Linked DNA regions of Macaca mulatta. The main gene of each other region encodes a partner of the protein of the gene in region 6 in a complex. Links are inferred from orthologs where the notes say so. Each region holds a gene or a part of one and is shown on either strand. Other genes may lie near its edges.

Evidence for each region.
Region 1: TUBG2 (region 6) and NME7 share a complex: the UniProt entries of both Homo sapiens proteins name them as parts of the gamma-tubulin ring complex. The link is inferred for Macaca mulatta from reciprocal best matches to the Homo sapiens genes TUBG2 and NME7.
Region 2: TUBG2 (region 6) and TUBGCP3 share a complex: the UniProt entries of both Homo sapiens proteins name them as parts of the gamma-tubulin ring complex. The link is inferred for Macaca mulatta from reciprocal best matches to the Homo sapiens genes TUBG2 and TUBGCP3.
Region 3: TUBG2 (region 6) and TUBGCP4 share a complex: the UniProt entries of both Homo sapiens proteins name them as parts of the gamma-tubulin ring complex. The link is inferred for Macaca mulatta from reciprocal best matches to the Homo sapiens genes TUBG2 and TUBGCP4.
Region 4: TUBG2 (region 6) and TUBGCP2 share a complex: the UniProt entries of both Homo sapiens proteins name them as parts of the gamma-tubulin ring complex. The link is inferred for Macaca mulatta from reciprocal best matches to the Homo sapiens genes TUBG2 and TUBGCP2.
Region 5: TUBG2 (region 6) and TUBGCP5 share a complex: the UniProt entries of both Homo sapiens proteins name them as parts of the gamma-tubulin ring complex. The link is inferred for Macaca mulatta from reciprocal best matches to the Homo sapiens genes TUBG2 and TUBGCP5.

Annotation. Positions count from the first base shown.
Region 1 is NC_133406.1:26,870,609-26,874,712, reverse strand, and holds the start of NME7 (nucleoside diphosphate kinase homolog 7), read left to right. Parts: upstream 1-1,304; 5' UTR 1,305-1,391; coding exon 1,392-1,394; intron 1,395-1,570; exon of another isoform or gene 1,571-1,628; intron 1,629-4,104. UniProt on the Homo sapiens protein: Possesses an intrinsic kinase activity. Displays 3'-5' exonuclease activity with a preference for single-stranded DNA. Does not seem to have nucleoside diphosphate kinase activity.
Region 2 is NC_133422.1:106,857,395-106,861,538, reverse strand, and holds the start of TUBGCP3 (gamma-tubulin complex component 3), read left to right. Parts: upstream 1-1,344; 5' UTR 1,345-1,533; coding exon 1,534-1,609; intron 1,610-4,144. UniProt on the Homo sapiens protein: Component of the gamma-tubulin ring complex (gTuRC) which mediates microtubule nucleation.
Region 3 is NC_133412.1:20,787,586-20,789,947, forward strand, and holds part of TUBGCP4 (gamma-tubulin complex component 4), read left to right. Parts: intron 1-759; coding exon 760-876; intron 877-1,490; coding exon 1,491-1,630; intron 1,631-2,283; coding exon 2,284-2,296; 3' UTR 2,297-2,362. UniProt on the Homo sapiens protein: Component of the gamma-tubulin ring complex (gTuRC) which mediates microtubule nucleation.
Region 4 is NC_133414.1:145,393,266-145,396,765, reverse strand, and holds part of TUBGCP2 (gamma-tubulin complex component 2), read left to right. Parts: intron 1-834; coding exon 835-994; intron 995-3,354; exon of another isoform or gene 3,355-3,424; intron 3,425-3,500. UniProt on the Homo sapiens protein: Component of the gamma-tubulin ring complex (gTuRC) which mediates microtubule nucleation.
Region 5 is NC_133412.1:1,333,723-1,337,222, forward strand, and holds part of TUBGCP5 (gamma-tubulin complex component 5), read left to right. Parts: intron 1-1,033; coding exon 1,034-1,280; intron 1,281-3,096; coding exon 3,097-3,299; intron 3,300-3,500. UniProt on the Homo sapiens protein: Component of the gamma-tubulin ring complex (gTuRC) which mediates microtubule nucleation.
Region 6 is NC_133421.1:67,018,198-67,020,594, forward strand, and holds the end of TUBG2 (tubulin gamma-2 chain), read left to right. Parts: intron 1-389; coding exon 390-476; intron 477-591; coding exon 592-741; coding exon of another isoform or gene 742-750; intron 751-984; coding exon 985-1,137; intron 1,138-1,220; coding exon 1,221-1,382; intron 1,383-1,501; coding exon 1,502-1,699; 3' UTR 1,700-1,897; downstream 1,898-2,397. UniProt on the Homo sapiens protein: Tubulin is the major constituent of microtubules, protein filaments consisting of alpha- and beta-tubulin heterodimers. Gamma-tubulin is a key component of the gamma-tubulin ring complex (gTuRC) which mediates microtubule nucleation.

The DNA.
Region 1 (4,104 bases), on a different chromosome or scaffold from region 6:
ATGCACACACAGACACACACACACATATCAAAAAGGAGCTTCTGTTTAGATGTGTAACGAACGAGAAAAAATATTACTCAAGATAACATAATTCATATTTTTTTGGTAATAAAGTTAAAATAGTGTAGCTCCAAAAGTAAAAAGAGAAACATATATTGAGCACATGCTTTCAGAAAGGTACACACTGCCTACAGTACAGACTCAGATTTACTAGAAAACATATAAAAAGGTGATGCTACTGCAATGATATAAATATGACAAACTGTACACTAGATGACAACTGGTGTCACTACAAAAAAAGATCGCTCTCAGTACTAGATACAACTCAGTTCAATTAGTGAACCCGACGACTAACTTTCTTAACAGTCACAAACTTTTCTACACTACAGTCTATTGCTCCGAAAAGAGGTATCCAAAAAACCCTTCGTAAGAGTAACGATCCCTGAAACTGCCCTTGATAGTTGCTCTGCGAAACATACAGGCACACCGAGTGCGTGCTGGCAAATGCCAAATGAAGGTGAGGGGGTGAAGAAGTAAGTAGGGGGAGTGAGCAGGTATGAGAGCGATAGGCCGGGAAGCGACAAGTCTGTCAACCTTTGCTGTCCCGGGAAGTCGAAACCGAAGTTCCATTCCTGTCTGAAAAAGCCTTCCCGGAACAACAATCGTTCCCTAAATCCAAAGCTACTGGCCACCAAGCTCCAGCCAGACCTCCGTCCCTTTCCAACATCCTTAGTTATACCTGCTTGTCCTCGGATTTACCTGTAAGATTCTTATTCTCCGTATTTCAGGGGACTTCACTTCATAGGCTCTTCGGATCGGTATCACCAGGCTAACTTCTCACAGACCTCTTCCATTCAGAAGCCGGCCCGCCCAGGCCCTCCACATATCCAGGAGCTCTCTCACTCCTAACCACTTCCGATTACTCAGGGTTTCGCTTCCGGAATACGTTTCCAAAAGAGAAGGGTAAATACATTCTGCAGTGAGTTTAAACTCAAGTAACACAGAACACACACTGTAAGGCCTCCGTAAGTGGAAAGCGGACAGATGTCTACTTTAAAATAAAATACTGTACAGCAACTTTTGGAGCCCAAGCCTCAGATTCACTTAAACTTCCGGGCCAGCTGTTAAACAAACGGAAGTAAAACTGCCGGAAACAGAAAAACGGCGTCTCGTAGCCCCAGGCGACAGCGTGGAGGGGCGGGCCTGTCGATTGGATGAACGCAGCTGAGATTACTCCCAGCCACTAAGGACGAAGAGGTGGGGCGGTGGCGTCCCACGCACCGTGCGACAGTGGGCGGTGCTCTGTTGCCTGAGTAACCGGATGATGGTGTTGGTGGTGGTGTCTTCCTGTCTCAACGATACCTATTTTCTAGTGCTGAGATCCTGAGACAATGGTGAGTGCCAGGGGATGTCAGAATAACGGCTGTGGGTCCTAGCTACTTAGCGTTCCAAGTCTTCGGGCGGATGGGCACTTAAAGTTGTCCTGTCCTCCCGACCTTCTCCTCATTATCTCTTTCCCCCTTCCCATGGGCTGTTACTGCAGTTTACTCGCTCTCCGTATTTCTTACAGCACCCTGAATTCCACTGATGCTACTAAGTCTCTAGAGTAATGAAACAGAAAATTCAGGGTAAGGCATCGAGTCTAATCACCTGTTTTGAACAACATTATGTGTTTTCATTGTTCATCGTGGCATTTTTCATGCTCACAGATTCACATTAACGCGCTTTATTAAGAGTGTGGGGTGGTGTGTATGTGACTGTCTCAACACTAATCTGAATCTCCCTAGATCTTGGAGTCCTTTTGCTTTTCTGAGTGGCAGAGCACTGCCCCACGCCCCCACGAGGGCCATTAACAGATGTATGTTGGATCAGCTCTCGTCTGTCCAGTTGCTTACCTTCTAGGTCTGTGCTTGCTTTTCTTTTCTTTCTTCTTCTTCTTCTTTTTTTCTTTCTTTTTTTTTTTTTTAAACAGAAATTTCTCCTGGGATTGCTTGGAGAGCTTCTGCAATTCACTGTTTGGACTTCACCCCTGGAAATTCTGAATGAAAGGAATGGGGCTTGGTATTTGCATTTTAAATAAACCTGTAGGTGATTTTAATTCACCCACATGTTTGAGAGTACCAGGGTTCTAGTTAATTCACTTAACTATCGTGTCTTTTAAGCACTTATGGATAATGGACTGGAAGATAGAAAGATCTTTAGATAGTTATAGCTACGAATTTAGAAACAGAGCCCCCACCCATCACCCCTTGTTTCTTCATACTACTCAGCAATCCTTTTGGTTACCCCAGTTTTCCCCTGCCCCATTTTCTGTAAAGACATTTTCAAACCTTCCATTTATAAACCCTGTCTTTTGCCCTTCTCATTTCTCCTTTCTAAACATGATGGAGTATAACAATTCTTCAACCTCATGCCCCCAACCTACACACTGATCTATATTTTTGCCAAGCCTTTAGTCTTGTATTTCTAGTGTAGAGAAAGGGATATTAAAGGATAATCCATCCATCTTTGCTTTTGATCTCATTTGCTTCCATCTGTTACATTTCGCTTCCAGTTGTCTTTTTTCTTTCCTGTGCTTTCAGCCTCTTCCTCTTCAGTTCCTTCTACTCAGTGCTCAAGTCACACATCTTATGAAAATTAAATAAAGCAAAACCATGTCATCCATCCTGTGTTTATCCAGTTATTTCCCAGTCCTCCTATCTATCAGTAAACTTATTGAAAGGATATTATTTTTACTTATATCAAACAGACAAAAGTCTTTTGTCTGGCTTCTTTAATGCCTTCAAGAAAGTTGTTCTTGCTTAAGTTTCTAAAGGCCTTTTAAATGCCAAATACAGTAATTACTTCTCAAAATTTATATTGCTTAGTCTGTTTGTGACAACTGAGGTTCATAGTCATTAATTCCTTTTACTGGCTGTGCCTGGTTTTTGAATGTCATTCTTTGGAATTCACTCCTTAATTACTTTCATTTCTTAGTCTAGACATTTTCCTTGGGTGATTTTGTCCACTCACATGGATTCTATTAACACCTTTGATTTTGCTTCTAAATTTCAATTTTTCTCTCAGATCTACTAATGCCTAACTCAGTTGCTTCCCGGACACATCTGTCTCAAAGGTCCCTCAAACTTAATATGACCAAAACTGAACTTGCTATCTTTCCTCCTGGTTTCTCCTATTTTCACCAAGTTAAATACTGCTACTACTATATTGTAACCTAAACTAGAAATCAGAGTTATCCTACATTCCTCCCTTTCCTATTTCTCCCATATTCAGTTGGTCACTAGATCAAATTTTAGTTTGTCATCTCCTCATTTCTTGATTATTTTAATAGTGACTTTTACAGTCTGGTCTGGAAATTCTCCAATCCATTATTTTCTCTGCCACAAGAAGGAATTTTTAAAAACCCAGCCTGTTGATTTACTCACCTCCTTAAAACTCTAGAATCCCCATTTCCTACAGTAAAATGTCTAGAGTGGCACACAAATTCCTCCATGAACAAGCACTTCTCTGTCTAGCTTTTGCCTTTCCTTTTCCATACCTTTTTTTTTTTTTTTTTTTTTTTTTTTATAAAAAATTATCTTGCCTTTTAGCTACTTGCTTTTCATTGAACATACCAAGCAACTTCAAACTGGTAGTATGCCTCCTCTTTCTACTTTGCACTTGCAATTCCTTCTACACAGAATACCTGCACCCTCTTGTTGCTTGCCAAACTCTTATTTATTCTCCTGTTACAGGCCAACGTGTTCTTCTTGCCCGCTTCCCAGAAAGGCCAAACATCGAGAATGCAGGAGTTGCAGCAGAGAAAGAGTTTAATGGAGGCAAGGCAGCTGAGTGGCAGGATAGGAGATATTTCTAAAATCCACCTCTCTGACAGCTTGGAGGTTGTGGTTTTTAGGGATAATTTTGTGGGCAGGTGGGTAGGGAGTGGGTGCTGCTGATTGGTTGGGGATGAATTTATAGGTGTTTCCAAACTGTCTTCCTGTGCTGAGTCAGTTGTCTAGGTGAGAGTCATAGGACTAGTAGAGTCAGTTTCTTGGTATGAGTCATGTATCTGGGTGGCATCAGGAGGTTTGCCAGAATGCAGAAGCCTGAAAAATATATCAA
Region 2 (4,144 bases), on a different chromosome or scaffold from region 6:
AGCAGTTATTCCTTGTGCCAACTGACATGCTCTAATTAATGCTATTAACTTTGCTTGTTGAGATGGTTGCTCCTAGAAGACAAGCACTTTCTATTTCTTTGGGCAAAGGCGCTATGGCATAGCCAGTGTAATACCTTCCAGCTGCATCCTTTAAGTAACAGCCATCTGTAAACCAAATAACATCAGCGTTAGTGAGGGGGGTTTCTTGTATGTCTGTCCTAGGAGACAGCTGGTCAGATAAGATGATGCAGTCATGCAGCGTTTCAGCTGAAGGTGGGGGAGAGGCTGGCAGAATGTAGATGACATCTGGACACTGTAGTATGGGGCTGAGAGAATAACTTCATAAGAAGCCAGTTACTAACTGATCGTGTTGAGTGTGGTGCAGGTTTAGAAGCGCTTCCACAGAATGTGGATCGAAAGCAGTGAGGGGTGATGGCATCCTTGGTGCTTTGGTTGCTCTTGCAGAGCTGTGATGGTTGTTGCTTCATGCAAGGAGGCAGTCCTTTAGCTGCAGGGTCTAGTTGTTGACTGTAATATCCTACAAGTCTGCTTTGTCTCCATGTTTTTGAGTCAGAACGCCAACAAATGTTTTACTTGCTAACAATTCTGCAACCAGAGCTGGACCCAGGCCCGACGGGCTTTGCAGACAGTCACATGTGTGGCTGGCCTCAGCTGGGATGTTGGGATAGCTGGATTGTCCTCCCTCTTCCATTTCATGGGATCTCGGGATCTCTTTCCATCATTTTTCCTTCAGGAAGTTGGCCTTTTAACATGGTAGCTCACGGCTCCCAAGCGTGCACCCATGTGTAAGCTTTAACGATTGCACTGAAGATGGCTTGGTGTAATTGTCCGCTTATCGATCTTTTTCTCGGCAGGTCTTCTCCTGTTCTCTCACTCTGTACGTGATTGATTTATTTTCCCAGGACGTCCCAGTCACCCGGGCCTGGGGGAGCGGCCTGCGCGGCGGTGTGAGGTCGGGCCTGAGCAGGGCGCCTGCTGGAGAGTAGCAGGTGACTTGCCACACCGCATAACCCCCTGCACCCTTTAAACAGGCTTCTTTCATCAGAAGCGTGAATCAAACCAATACCGTTAACACACACGCCCCCATATAAACACACCAAATTATGGCCTTTAAGGTGCTACCGGCCACCAAGTGCTCTCCAAGGAAGCCCGTGACGCTCGCGACTCCAGGGCCGCTCTGTCCGCGAAGCTCGAGGGCCTCGGGCCACCTGTCGCCCGGAACTTTCCCGGCCGGACGGGCAGCAGCCGGGGGAATACGCAGGGCAGGGCCGGGAACGCTTAGGCAGCCGCACGCGCGGTCGCGGCGCAGGGAAGAAGCGGGGCATTGTGGGAAGCGCCCGCGCTTTCGGCGGGTTCCGTTAAAATGGCGCCCTGGTGGCCGGCGGCGCCCGCGCCTTAGCCTGTCGGGAGCCGGGAGCTTGAGGGGCGCAGGGAGGGCGCGGGCCGCAGTCCCTGCGCTTGCGGCGGCGGTGGCGGCTCTGCCCAGACCCCCGCGCACAGTCCCGGGCAAGGATGGCGACCCCGGACCAGAAGTCGCCGAACGTTCTGCTGCAGAACCTGTGCTGCAGGATCCTGGGCAGGAGCGAAGGTAGAGGGGCCGGGCGACGCGGGGCCTGCAGACCCACCCCGGGGGCCACTCCCTGCGCGTGCAGCCCTAATACGTCCCGGGGCTGGAGGAACGAGGATGCAGGGCCGGGGCAGAGGGCTGGGGACGGGCCGAGGACGTGGGGCCCGGACGAGGGAGCGGAGGGCTGGGTTCCGGGGTTAGGGAGCCGGGGAGGAGAGCGGAGGGTTGGGGCTCGGGGGTCAGGGAGCCAGGGAGGAGAGCGGAGGGCTGGGGGCCGGGACCGGGACGGAGGGAGTGGAGAGCCCGAGGCCGGGGCCAGAGCGCGGGGCCGGGAGGCGGGAGGGCGGAGCCCGGGCCGGAGCGGGCTGAGTCACCGCTCACTCCGCGCGCGGGTCCGTCAGTGAGGATGGGAGGAATGCCAGCTCGCCAATTTATCCCGGTTCTCTGGTGTCACACGCCAGGGGAGGGCGCCTCTGCGTGCCTTTGGGTTCATGCTGTGTGGGGTGGAGAGAGCGGCTGCGCAGCGGAGGAGCGTGCGGGGTGCTGGAGAGTCACATCATCGTCCCTTTTCATTAGGAAAGTTTAACAGGCTTGAGCATTATGGGAATGGGGTGTTAACGATTATCTGCCATATTTTCTACTGTTTAAAGGGTTGAGGGTTGGATTTGATATAAAACTATTCTGGGAAAGTTCACATGGCGAATATTGTTACTAATAAGCTAAACTAATCCTATACAGTAGGCAAAACCATTTTGTAGCCGAGGTACTTTGAAATAAATGGTACAGGATGCCATTTCTTGCTCCGTGTTTTGGCCAGGTTGGTGGGGGAGAGAGTGAGTATGCACCGTGAGGGAGTTTTCTGAGTAATGGAAGCAAGTGTGTTACGTCTTAAGGACCAAAATGTGGAAAAGAAGTTATTCAGTTTTTGAAGGAAGACTTCAAAGTTACATTTAAAGTACTGGGAATGCATTTTGACTTTTTATGCTTCATGACAATTACTGCGTGTAATTCATTGGATGTTCTATGATAATCTTTGGGCAATCATGAATTATTTTGTGTTACTATTAAATGAGTGACTTCACACAATTCTTGCTACATTTTGTAAAGTTTCATTTTATCTCTTTATTTATCTAAGAAATCTTTGAGAACAACCCCGTCCTCAAAGTTCCTCCCAGGAACTATGCTAAGTGCTGGTGATGCAGATGCACAAGTCATTCCTCCCACAGATCTGACACTCTAGTGGAAGAGACAGATGATAAACCAGCCATGTTAATTAGCAATAAGTACTGTGGTGAAAAAGTACGGTAAAGGAATAGAGAGAGGCAGATCACGAGGTCAGGAGATCGAGACCATCCTGGCTAACACAGTGAAACCCAGTCTCTACTAAAAATACAAAAAATTAGCCGGGCGTGGTGGCGGGCGCCTGTAGTCCCAGCTACTCGGGAGGCTGAGGCAGGAGAACGGTGCGAACCCTGGAGGTGGAGCGTGCAGTGAGCTGAGATTGCGCCACTGCACTCCAGCTTGGGCGACAGCGAGACTCCGCCTCAAAAAAAAAAAAAAAAGAAAGAAATAGAAGAGACAGGTGAGGGAAAGCCTCTGAAATATTTACAGAGACCTGAATGGAGTAAGGGAGGGCCGTTTGAACATCTGGGGAAGGTTCTGAGTAGAGAGAACCAACGAAAAGGCCTTGAGTTATGAGCATGGCCTGTCCTCCTTTGTTTTTGTCATTAGCACACTGAGTTTCCTTTCTCATGTTTCATGTTCCTCGTCATAGGGGGAATCAGATAAAACTAAGATTGATAGGACTTATCCAACTTAATGTCAGTGTTTCCCTTGTACCAGTGGTTCCAGAGTTTTTTGTTTTAGGGATAAACCACACATTCATACATTCCCATTGTCATAATTGGATTTTGAAAGTCATTCATCGTGAGCTAAAATGGTATTTCTCAACTTAAAGACTTTTGAGACAGAGTCTCATTCTGTCGCTCAAGCTACCGTGCAATGGCGCTATCTCGGCTCACTGCCAGCTCCGCCTCCCGGGTTCACGCAGTTCTCGTGCCTCATCCTCCAGAGTAGCTGGGACTACAGGCGCCCACTACTACGCCCGGTTAATTTTTTGTATTTTTAGTAGAGACGGGGTTTCGCCGTGTTAGCCAGAATGGTCTCGGTCTCCTGACCTCGTGATCGTCCTGCCTCGGCCTCCCAAAGTGCTGGGATTACAGGCGTGAGCCACCACCGTGCCCGGCCAAAAACGTTTTTTTTTTTTTTTTTTTTTTAAACATTGAAGATTCTTTGATATAAAAGTTTTGCCCCTTCTAAGAGATTGAAAAGCTTCTTTTCAGCAAAATTCTGTATCCTACTGTCTTCCCATTTAGAATTGTGTCTAAATTAAAAGTGGGCTCTCAAATCCTGGCAGGGTCCTCTCTGAATTATTTATTTATTTATTAGAGACGGAGTCTTGCTCTGTCACCTAGGCTGGAGTGCAGTGGCCTGATCTTGGCTCACTGCAACCTCTGCCTCCTGGATTCAAGTCAGTCTCCTGCCTCAGTCCCCGAG
Region 3 (2,362 bases), on a different chromosome or scaffold from region 6:
GTTTAGGGCTATTTCTGCTGCCCAGGAAGAGGAAGATATATATTAATAAATGCCATTTCAGAGGGCTGGTTGAAAACAACCAAGAACTACTGTGATGGGTCGATGCTGTCCTTATGTGGCATAGATGTATCCATAGGGAAAAGCCGAGTATCAGAGCAGGTCATCATCATTAAATATTTATTGAGTGCTTACTGTATGCAAGGCACTGGGGATACAAAGAGGTATAATTCATGGCTCTGCCCTTAAGGAGCTCACAATCTAGTTGGAAAAACAAGACATATATATACATACAGAAATCATTAACAACACAGAGGCCTGAACAATTGCCAAGTGGACAACAGTACAGATAATAAAGAAGCAAGAAACGGGGTTCACTAAAGGCTACAGTGGGGAAGGGAGTGCTTCACTGAGAGAGTGGGACTTGAACTGGTATTAAAAAGAAGAGCATCCCAGGCAAAGAGAACAACACTCACAGCTCAGAGGCAGGAACACACTCTGCGGGTCTAAGAAATGAAGAGTTAAATGTGGCTAGAATGGAGGTTTGGTGCGGGGCTGAGAGAGTAATACTCGTGTACGCAGGAAAGGATGCATTTGTTTTACACATATTGTATGTCTGAGGGGCTGGCAGGCCTTGCAAGTGACAGTGTCTATCCTCTCAGATTTGGGAGGTCAGCTATTAATCAGACTGTTCTCCCAAATCTTTAATTTCATGGACGTACCTTCCTTCTTTTCCTAATGCCAACTCTGTTTCCTGGGTAGGTGTTTCACTGCCTGAATGAAATCCTAGATCTCTGTCACAGTTTTTGTTCGCTGGTCAGTCAGAACCTAGGCCCACTGGATGAGCGTGGAGCCGCCCAGCTGAGCATTCTCGTGAAGGTGCGTCTGCCTGGAAGTATGCAGCCTTGCCGAAAGGACAGAGGTGGTTTTGTCAATGGAGAATTCATGATCTTTCCTCTGAGTCAGTAAAGCATTTCCTCAATACACACACGTACAGAAATAAGATATAAAGATAAAAATGTTGGTATCAGTTGATTTTGAATCAGGTAATTACTGTGCTACCTCAGAGTGCTCAAAAATAGTTCAGTCCTGAATAGTTTATTCAGCCCATCAAATAAGCATTGGCTTTGTTCTAACTTCCTCACATCCTACCCCTCTTTACTTCCTTGAACTAACCCCTATCTCACTGAGATAATTATCTGCTTGTAATCAAAACGGGTTCTCCCCAACCCCAGTACTTGACAAAATACATTAACTGGAAACCAGCTACTAAATTCCTACTGGTGAAAGAGTACTTTCATAGGAAGTCATGCATGTATGGATTTGGTACAAGTCATTTTAAGAACTAATAGAAATAGGAATGTGGGAAGGCCAGGTGGTTCTGTAGAATTTTGAGCAAGGCTTTTCCAAGAAACTCCTCCCTCCGCCCCCATCCTCCATATGGAGAGTTGGTGAGCTGAAGTGGAATGACAGCTGAGTCCTTCTCTCTGCAGGGCTTTAGCCGCCAGTCTTCACTCCTATTCAAGATTCTCTCCAGTGTTCGGAATCATCAGATCAACTCAGATTTGGCTCAACTACTGTTACGACTAGATTATAACAAATACTATACCCAGGCTGGTGGAACTCTGGGCAGGTAGGAGCAACCCTTGGGTAACTCAGTAGACTTTTGTGGGTGACTTTTTAATGAGTTGCAGAATTCTAGAGCTGGAAGAAGACTTTAGCCATCATATAGTCCAAATACGCTCATTTTATATAAACAAGGTTTAGAGATAGAGGTGTGACCATCTTTAATAATTTTAATGAAGATTATTTTCTAGTAGAAGTCATCATCATCATCATAAAATACTAAAAAACCTGACAGTGAGATAGGTGTTAAGTCCTTTGCTAGGTTATGTATTGCTATGCTGGGAGGCAGTGTGCCTTCCATTCCCAATTCTGATATGAACTAGCTGTGCAGCCGTGGGCACCCCGCCTTGCTGGTCCCTAGCTTCCACATTGGTGAAAGGAGGGGACCACCCCTTCTAACTCTAAACTTTAAGTGAGATTCAGTGGTAGCTGGCTTCCCAGAGCTCTGTCATTCCCATTCAGAAAATCACTTTATTGTCCTTTCTCTCTCTCAAATGTCTGCAAGTAGACTTTTTTCTAAGCTATTTTAGCAGAAGAGTCAAAAGAAACTCTTGTTTTAAGACGACATTATTTAGACCACAGGTTGTCCTGATTCATATTTCTTTGAAGGCAGTCTTGGGAAAGCATGATACTTAATAAGGCTCTTTTTCTCTTTTGTAGTTTCGGGATGTGAAAAGTTATGGCTCATAAACTGAAATAACAGCCACGTTCCCAAGTTTGTACCAGAAGATTCAAAACA
Region 4 (3,500 bases), on a different chromosome or scaffold from region 6:
TCCTTGGAGCTGCGACGTTCCTGCCTTTGTGACCTTAAAGCTCCCTTTGGAGCTGTGTCCCTGAGGCTTCCTGGCCTTGTGGTGCATGTTGAGTACAGCGGCTCCTGAGGGCCTGGCCGGTTTTTGCTGGGCACGTTCTGTGCTGGACATGGTGCTAGGCCTCTGTTCACGTCTCCCTCAGCCCTGGCGCCGCGCTGTGTGTGGCACGTAAGGAGACTGGGTCGTGCTGCCACGTGCAGAGACAGTTTGCACTTGCCCTGTGCCTGACCAGCCCTGAGTGGGAGTCAGTGCTTCCGAAAGCTGGGCCAGCCCAGGCCGACCTGTCAGCTTCCGGCGGCCACTGGCACAGGAGGGCAGGCGCTCTGACCACATGTCAGGAGCCAGCCTGTCGCGCTGGGGCCGTTCTCCAGCAGGGTAAGGACGCAAGTCTATTGCTAACACCTGTCTTCACCCAGCAAGTGGTGTTCAGACCTAGTCACTGCCAGGAAGAAGCAATTCAGCTTGTTCATGGGGCACCCTCCTCTGAAACAGCGGCTCTGTGCCAAGGTGCCCCCTCTCCTGTGGTTCCCACTGCTGGTGCCCATGGTTTCCCAGGGGGCCCTTGCTGGACCTGGACTCCTGAGAGGAGGGGCTGGGGCTCCCCATCTGCCCTGTTCTCCCCAGCCCCTCGTGTGGCAGGGATATCGAGCTGCATTTCATTTCTGTGTGGCTGACTCTTTGTAGGTGCTAAATTGACTAATCATCTTTGCTGTAGATGTTAGTTTCTACAGGTGTCTTGAGTGTTTGCACTAAAGTGTATCTTTCTGGTTTTGTTTTTAAAAATGTCCTTGCTAGTCTCTGGAACTTAAAAGAAAGATGCTTCGAGACAAGCAGAACAAAAAAAATTCGGGCCAGCACCTCCCTGTCTTCCCAGCGTGGGTGTATGAGAGACCTGCCCTGATCGGGGATTTCCTGATTGGTGCTGGCATCAGCACAGACACCGCTTTGCCGATAGGTACGTGATGCGTTTATTTCCGGGCTCTGCCGATAGGTATGTGATGGGTTTATTTCTGGCCCCTGGGCAGGACACTCTGAGGCCCAGCCCTCCCCTGGGCCTGCCCTTCCTCAGGTTGTGAGGCTCGATGCTGACTGGCCGCTGCCTCCATATTCCTATCCCAGGGTGGCAGCAGAAAGTGGCTCCCCTGGGTCCTTGAGGGTTCTTCTCCCGTCCCTCCTGCCAGAGCTGTGGGGCAGCCTACAGCAGGCCCCTCCCCAGCTGGCATCCTGGTGCCCTGGTGCAGACCTGCAGGCACCAGAATTGTGTGCAGCACTTACTTCTGAACAGCGGTTCATAACTCCCATAGATTCTGCTCCCAGAGGCCTCTTAAAGTAGTGCTCGTGTAAACAAGATGCAAGTGAGACCGCACAGTCATTTCAAGGCATGTTGTTGGGGACCCGGGGTGTGTTCATCTGTCACAATTCATGGGTACATTTTTATCTATTTTTAATTCTTTTGAGATGGAATCTCACTCTGTCGCTGGAGAGCAGTGGTGCGATCTCGGCTCACTGCAACCTCCACCTCCCAGGTTCAAGCAATTCTCCTGCCTCAGCCTCCCAAGTAGCTGGGACTGCAGGTGCCACCACGCCCGGCTAATTTTTGTATTTTTAGTAGAGGTGGGGTTTTGCCATGTTGGCCAGACTGGTCATGAACTCCTGACCTCTGGTGATCTGCCCACCTTGGCCTCCCAAAGTGTGGGATTGCAGGCGTGAGCCACCACACCTAGTCAAGTACATTTTTAGATTGAAAAATGAGATTTCACGAACTTAAGGACAGAGATACCTGCTTGTCTTGCTTGTCTTGCCTCTGCCTATTAGTCCAAACTCAAGAGGCAGCGTGGAACGCGATCTGCTTTCCCACTGCTCGCGCAGCTCTGCGGTGTAGGCACCGAGAGGCCAACCCTTGCCTTTGCCAGAAACCCTGGAGAACGGTGACATGAAATCCTCCTGTTTTCCTCATTCCCAACAAACAGAACTCTGCTGTAAGTTAATGAAAAGTGTAGAAAACAGTCTACTTTGGCCGGGCGTGGTGGCTCACACCTGTAATCCCAGCGCTTAGGGAGGGTGAGGTGGGTGGATCACCTGAGCCTAGGAATTCGAGACCAGCCTGGGCAACATGACAAGACTAGTCTCTACAAAAAGTATAAAAATTAGCCGAGTGTGGTAGCGGGCACCTGTAGTCCCAGCTCCTCAGGAGGCTGAGGTAGGAGATCACTTGAGCCTGGGAGGTCGAGGCTGCAGTGAGCTGTGATCATGCCACTGCACTCCAGCTTGGGCAACAGAGTAAGACCCTGTTTCAAAAAAAAAGAAAACAGTCTGCTTTGTGCAGTGTGTTTTCAGTAATAATCCAACTGTGAAGAGTTAGGGAGAGAGAGCCACTCCCTTAGCGGGTATTTAGCGGGCGGCCGGGGCAGCAGTGGGCATCTGAGAGCTCCTGATGATGCCCAGGGAGGCTTCAGAGAAGGACGCGCGGGTCCCTGGTGCCCGAGATCCCAGCAGTGGAGCACAGCGGAACCAGCTTTCTGGAGCAGGAAGCACCGAGGGGGGTGTTCAGGCTTTCCCCCCATGTTTCCCCATCCAGGGAAGGGGCTGTGTCCAATAATGCTGGGTGCCACGCGCATGGCGGTGATTGGAAGCAAGTGTGTGGGACTTGGCTGTGAACCCTGCAGCCGGCTCTCAGGTCAGGGTGCGGGTGCCCTCGGCACACTCAGCGCCCTAGGGAAGGGGCGGCCTTGCCCCACCTCCCTCCCACGGCCACAGGTCCCAGGCATGCCACCGGCATCGAGCCTGCCTCGCCTCCCTTTGTCCGCACTGTCCCCGCCCCCTCGTGCCACCTGTGCAGACTCGAGAATGGAGCTCACCGTGGTGTTCGTGCAGGGCCTGTCCAGCCCTTACCCCACGATTTGACCAGTGCCACACCACGGGACCTTGCATGACCTGGGGCCAGCGTCCTCTGGAAAACACCCCTGGAGTGGTGTGTGATGAGGACACGTGCCTTGGAAAGCATCAGGACCTTGTGAGCACGAGGCGGCTGCCAGCCCTCCACGTTCCCGCCGTGCCTCTCACAGTGTGGGCGTCCACCTGGCCAGCGCCGCCGCGGCAGTGTCCTCCCTCTCGTCGCTGCTGTGCAGCGTGCGGAGCTGTTTGCCTACCCGCGTCCTGCCTTTTCCCCACACCGGCACGGAGGAGCCACGTGGTCAGTGGTCGTTCGGACGTGGTGATTCGCAGACGACGACGCAGGTGTTGAGAAGACACCAAGGATGTTGAATATTGGGGAGGTGAAGCAACTGACTTCTTTTTTTCTTGAGACAGGGTCTCACTTCGTTGCCTTGGCTGGAGTGCAGTGGCGTGATCTCAGCTCACTGCAGCCTCGACCGCCCAAGCTCAGGTGATTCTCCCACCTCAGCCTGCCGAGTAGCTGGGACTGCAGGCGTGCACCATCACACGCAGCTAATTTCAGTATT
Region 5 (3,500 bases), on a different chromosome or scaffold from region 6:
GGCCAGGCTTGTCTAGAACTCCTGACCTCATGATCCACCCACCTCTGCTTTCCAAAGTGCTGGGATTACGCCCGGCCTCTTTTTTTCTTTTGAGACGGAGTCTCGCTCTGTCACCCAGGCTGGAGTGCAATGGCACGATCTCCACTCACTGCAAGCTCTGCCTCCCGGGTTCAAGCCATTCTCCTGCCTCAGCCTCCCAAGTAGCTGGGACTACAGGCGCCGCCACTAGGCCCGGCTAATTTTTGGTATTTTTAGTAGAGACGGTAGTTCACTATGTTGGCCAGGCTGGTCTCGAACTCCTGATCTCATGATCCGCCGGCCTCGGCCTCCCAAAGTGCTGGGATTACAGGCGTGAGCCACCACGCCTGGCTGGACATATTTAATTTCAATTTGCATTTTGTGCTTTTAATTCTGTCATTCTGTATTGTGAAAGTTATATACTGTAATTTTTTTTTTTTGCTTTAAGTACATTTACCTTATGTATGTTTTTTTAAAATATAAGCCAGAATTCTGGGCCGGGCGCGGTGGCTCACGCCTGTAATCCCAGCACTTTGGGAGGCTGAGACGGGCGGATCACAAGGTCAGGAGATCGAGACCATCCTAGCTAACACGGTGAAACCCCGTCTCTACTAAAAAATACAAAAAACCAGCCGGGCGTGGTGGCGGGCGCCTATATAGTCCCAGCTACTCGGGAGGCTGAGGCAGGAGAATGGCGTGAACCCGGGAGGCGGAGCTTGCAGTGAGCTGAGATCCGGCCACTGCACTCCAGCCTGGGCGACAGAGCAAGACTCCATCTCAAAAAAAAAAATATATATATATATATATATATAAGCCAGAATTCTCTAGTCTATTGAAATTATTGCTCTTTTTCCTTTGCGTATAAACCTAAATATTAATCATTTTATTACTTTGTGTTCTACTAAACATACTGTTTAAAATAATTGCAAAGGAAATATTTTACAGCGAGAGGGAAATGAATTTGAAAGTTTACAGAAGGCCACCTTTGAGTAATTGCAGTTTGCTTCTGTTGTAGAGCTGTTTACGATCTGTGCTGGAACAAATAGCAGCATATGGCCAGGTTGTGTTTCGACTCCAGCAGTTCATTGATGAAGTCATGGGACACAGTTCCGAGAGCATGCTGCCTGGAAGTGGGTCTGTTCCTAAGAAGTCAACTGAAGCCCCCTTTAGAACCTACCAGGCTTTCATGTGGGCCCTGTACAAATATTTCATTAGTTTCAAAGAGGAACTTGCAGAAATCGAGAAGTGCATCATCAATAATGGTATTAAATGTTCCTCATCTTTACTCGTGCTACACGTAACTTATAATTTGAATGCCATTTAGATTTTTCATCATGTAAGATTGAAAGTTGCCTAGCAAATAAGTAGTTCTCGTGAATGCTTCATTTTTAAAATTATTTTAAATTTGTATTTTTAAATCATTCATATCTCTAAAAATCAAAAATCTACAGAGGATTTAGAGTGAAAAATCTAAATTATTCTTCCTGCACCAGTACCCCAGCCAGTCAGTTCTCCTCTCCAGAGACAGCCAGGTCCTCAGCTTCTTACGCATCCTCCCAGAAAGAGTTTGAACATACACAAGCAGTGCATATACATATACGCATACCTAGCAGTCATTACACTGCTCTCTTCAAATTTTTCTGATTTAAATTTTGAGGATAATACCACACAAATGTGAAGAGCTTCTATTTTCCTTTTTACAGATTGAGTGTTTCATCATATGGTTGTAACATAGCCCAGTCCCCTTAATGGATTTAGGTTCTTCCCAGGCTTTTGCTATTGTTAGCAGTGCTGCAGTGATAATCACTTCTACATATCCGTAATCGTACACAGGCAGTGAGTTATCTGTAGGGTAGGTTCTTTTTTTTTTTTTTTGAGATGAAGGCTCCCTCTGTCACCCAGGCTGGAGTGCAGTGGCGGGATCTTGGCTCACTGCAAGCTCCGCCTCCTGGGTTCAAGCGATTTTCCCGCCTCAGCCTCCCGAGTAACTGTGATTACAAGTACCTGCCACCATGCCTAGCTAATTTTTGTATTTTCAGTAGAGACAGTCTTTCACCATGTTGACCAGGCTGGCCTATAACTCCTGGCCTTAGGTGATCCGCCCACGTTGGCCTCCCGAAATGCTGGGATTACAGGTGTTAGCTGGGATTATACCACATCCAACCATGTGGGGTAGGTTCTTATAAATGGAATTGCTGGGTCATGTTGATTTTCCTAAGTTTTGCCACTTTATGGGGAGGTGCAGGTAAATAGATTTATACTCTTGTGAGCCATGTAGATGAATACCTGTTTCCTCACACTCTTGCCATCTGTGTGTTATCAGAGGTTTTGGTCTTCACCAGTATGACAGCTGTAAAATAGCAACCCATGTAGCTTTTTTCCCCTTAACTTTTATTTTGAACTACCACAAAAAATGGCACAGAGAGGCCCTGTGTTCCCATGACTTTGCTTCCCCCAGTGGGAAAACCTCACGTAGTGACAGTACATAATCAAAACTAGGAAACTGACATTGGCACAGCACATTAGCCAAACTGCAGACCTGACACGGCTTCACCAGCATTGCAGGAACTTGCAACTTGCTTTGAGCAGGGGTGGGTGTGGTATCTTCGTGTATGGTTCCGGGTCTTTTTATCACCTGTCGAGCTCCACATGGCCACTTCCATGTTAAGGTCACAGCTGTGCCACCACCTCGCAGGACCTGCTTCTGCAGCCCTTTGTAGGCACAGCCTCTCTCACCCCTCACTGTAACATCAGCCCGTTGGAGGTGTTCTGTTTTACCTGGCGTAGTTTTTTAAGTAAGGTCAAGTGACTTTCTGTATGTTCTAGAATCACTTATCTTTCCTTTTCTGTGAACTGTCAGTTCCTTTATATGTTAGTTTTCTGCTGAGTTTTCTTTTTCTCCGTGACTTGCAGGAGTTCTTCCTTAGGGAAATTAGGTCCTTGTGATGTGAGATCAAAATTCACCATCCTCCATTTTGCCCTGCCTGTCCATAAGCCTGGTGATTTGCCAGCATTTGTGTCACGTTTTAGATGCGTGTATTTTTCTTGCTATTGAGTTTGATTTGTTGAAATTTGCAGATGCTACAATAACTCTTGCAATAGTGGTGGACAAGTTGGCACCTCGATTGGCTCAGCTCAAGGTTTTGCACAAAGTGTTTAGTACTGGAGTAGCAGAAGTTCCACCTGATACTCGAAATGTTGTCCGGGCCTCTCACCTGCTCAACACCCTGTACAAGGCCATTCTTGAATATGACGATGTTGGAGAAGCCTCTGAGCAAACCGTATGTGAGACTTCTGCCTGAAGTGTGTGACTCCGTTCTGCACGGCACAGGAGTGGTAGACAGCTGATCGTAGTTCTTTGTTCAATGACACTTGAATGGTGACTCGTTGGACAGTTCAGAGTTTTTAAATTGGCTTCCAAATTTGAGGCTATAGGAAACTGGCTTTTCAGCTCTACTTGCCAAGGTCCTCAGAAGGATGAG
Region 6 (2,397 bases):
CTCTCTGTGGTCTCCCCAGAGCCAAGCACAGTGTATGGCACATGTGGGTACTCACGGGTTTGTTTACTGCCCTGCGTAGTCTGAGAGTATCTCATGATGCCCCAGAAACAGTACTTTTCTTTCTGTTATTTTTTATGTATATTTTTTACAGAGATGGCATCTTGCTGTGTTGCTTAGGCTGGTGTCCAACTCCCGGCCTCAAGTGATCCTCCCACATTGGCCTCCCAAACGGCAGGGATTACAGGCATGAGCCACCACGTCCAGCAGTACTTTTTTTTAAACTAACAAACCTACTTCTTGGCTTTGGAGTTCAGCAGGGGCTAAGCCAATATCTTATTTCTATGCCCATTTTATCCTCAAGATGCTGTGACCCTCTTCTGTCCCCGTAGGTGGTGCTGGACAACACAGCCCTGAACCGGATTGCCACAGACCGCCTGCACATCCAGAACCCGTCCTTCTCCCAGATCAACCAGCTGGTGGGCCCCCACTCCTGGACTCCTTTGGACTGGAAGCCCTCCTTGCTGGAGGGTCATCTGGGGAAGGAAAGTCCCAACCAGGCCGAGGCCCATGACATGGCACGCCTGTCCCCAGGTGTCCACCATCATGTCTGCCAGCACCACCACTCTGCGCTACCCCGGCTACATGAACAATGACCTCATCGGCCTCATCGCCTCGCTCATTCCCACCCCACGGCTCCACTTCCTCATGACCGGCTACACACCGCTCACTACGGACCAATCAGTAAGAGCAGCCTTCAGTGTCCCAGGCCAGGCCGGCCCTGGGCCCAGCAGGCCCTGCCCTAGCCTTTCTGTCTTCCCCACTGCCCCAGGAGCTGCCCTTTGCGGGCCCCGAGGCACTGTGCTCAGGGACTTTCTTGCTGACTTGCGCTCTACCCTCCCTCTGCCTTTGGCTTCTGCCAAGGAGAAGCCAAAGGGGGACTCTGCCCTGAGCGCTGGCCGGGTTCCTGTCTCACTGTCCCATCAGGTGGCCAGCGTGAGGAAGACCACGGTCCTGGATGTGATGAGGCGGCTGCTGCAGCCCAAGAACGTGATGGTGTCCACAGGCCGAGACCGCCAGACCAACCACTGCTACATCGCCATCCTCAACATCATCCAGGGAGAGGTGGACCCCACCCAGGTAGGGGAGGCCCCTTCATCCCGCACCCTGGACCCGCAGGGGTAGAGGAGAGGCCACCTCCACTGCTCGTGTGCCCACCCCAGGTCCACAAGAGCCTGCAGAGGATTCGGGAACGGAAGTTGGCCAACTTCATCCCGTGGGGCCCCGCCAGCATCCAAGTGGCCCTATCGAGGAAGTCTCCCTACCTGCCCTCGGCCCACCGGGTCAGTGGGCTCATGATGGCCAACCACACCAGCATCTCCTCGGTGAGTCTAGGTTTCTGTTCTTCTCAGGAAGAGTCTGTTCCACTGGCTACCTTCATCATCTTCCCCAAGTTCACTCCTAACCCCCTGGCTCGCATTTTGGAGATTTTCATCTCTTTCAGCTCTTTGAAAGTTCCTGCCAGCAGTTCGACAAGCTGCGGAAGCGGGATGCCTTCCTTGAGCAGTTCCGTAAGGAGGACATGTTCAAGGACAACTTTGATGAGATGGACAGGTCTAGGGAGGTTGTTCAGGAGCTCATTGATGAGTACCATGCAGCCACCCAGCCAGACTACATTTCCTGGGGCACCCAGGAGCAGTGATTTCCCTCCCCACTACTCCTGGATGGGAAGCACAGCCTCGACCATGCCTGCTCCCTCTGACCCAACTTCACCTCATGGACAACCCTTCTTGGTTCATCTCCAGCCCATGAGCTTCCTCCTGCTTCCTCCCTTCCATGCCCTAACTCTTGATATGCTTGTTCAGCTTTAATAAAGTAATAAAGCTTGGTTGTCAGTATAGCCAGGGCTTGATCTGTGAATACAGGGGGTGGTGAAGGGGTCCAGTTTCTAGGCCTCTGACAGTAGGGTGGCTTTCACGTCCTCCAACGTCTTACCACTAAGTCCAAATCTTAGTGTGTTCACTGTTTCCACTGGCATCCCTCACCTTGAACTAAGCTGTTTTACTAGAGTCAGCCCTTGTCTCAAGATTACAGAGCTTTACTGAGGTTTGCTGTCTCCTCAGTGCCTAAGGTTTGCCCCAGTGAGGGTCAATGTTGCCCCAACCTCTTCCACTCAAGGCAGAGGAGGTGGGGTCTACCGAAGGAGGGCACGCTACATTACGAGCAGGCCAGAAGAGCCGAGACTCCAGATTCCCAGTGCCCAGGGCCATGAGAGTTCCAGGAACTCAATCCAGTTCAACCTAACCTGATTAGTAGAAACAGAATTCAAGAGTAGGGCTGAGCACATCCTGAGTTACTTTTCTGTGCCAGAGAAATTCATGGGTTTGTTATCTGCCCCAA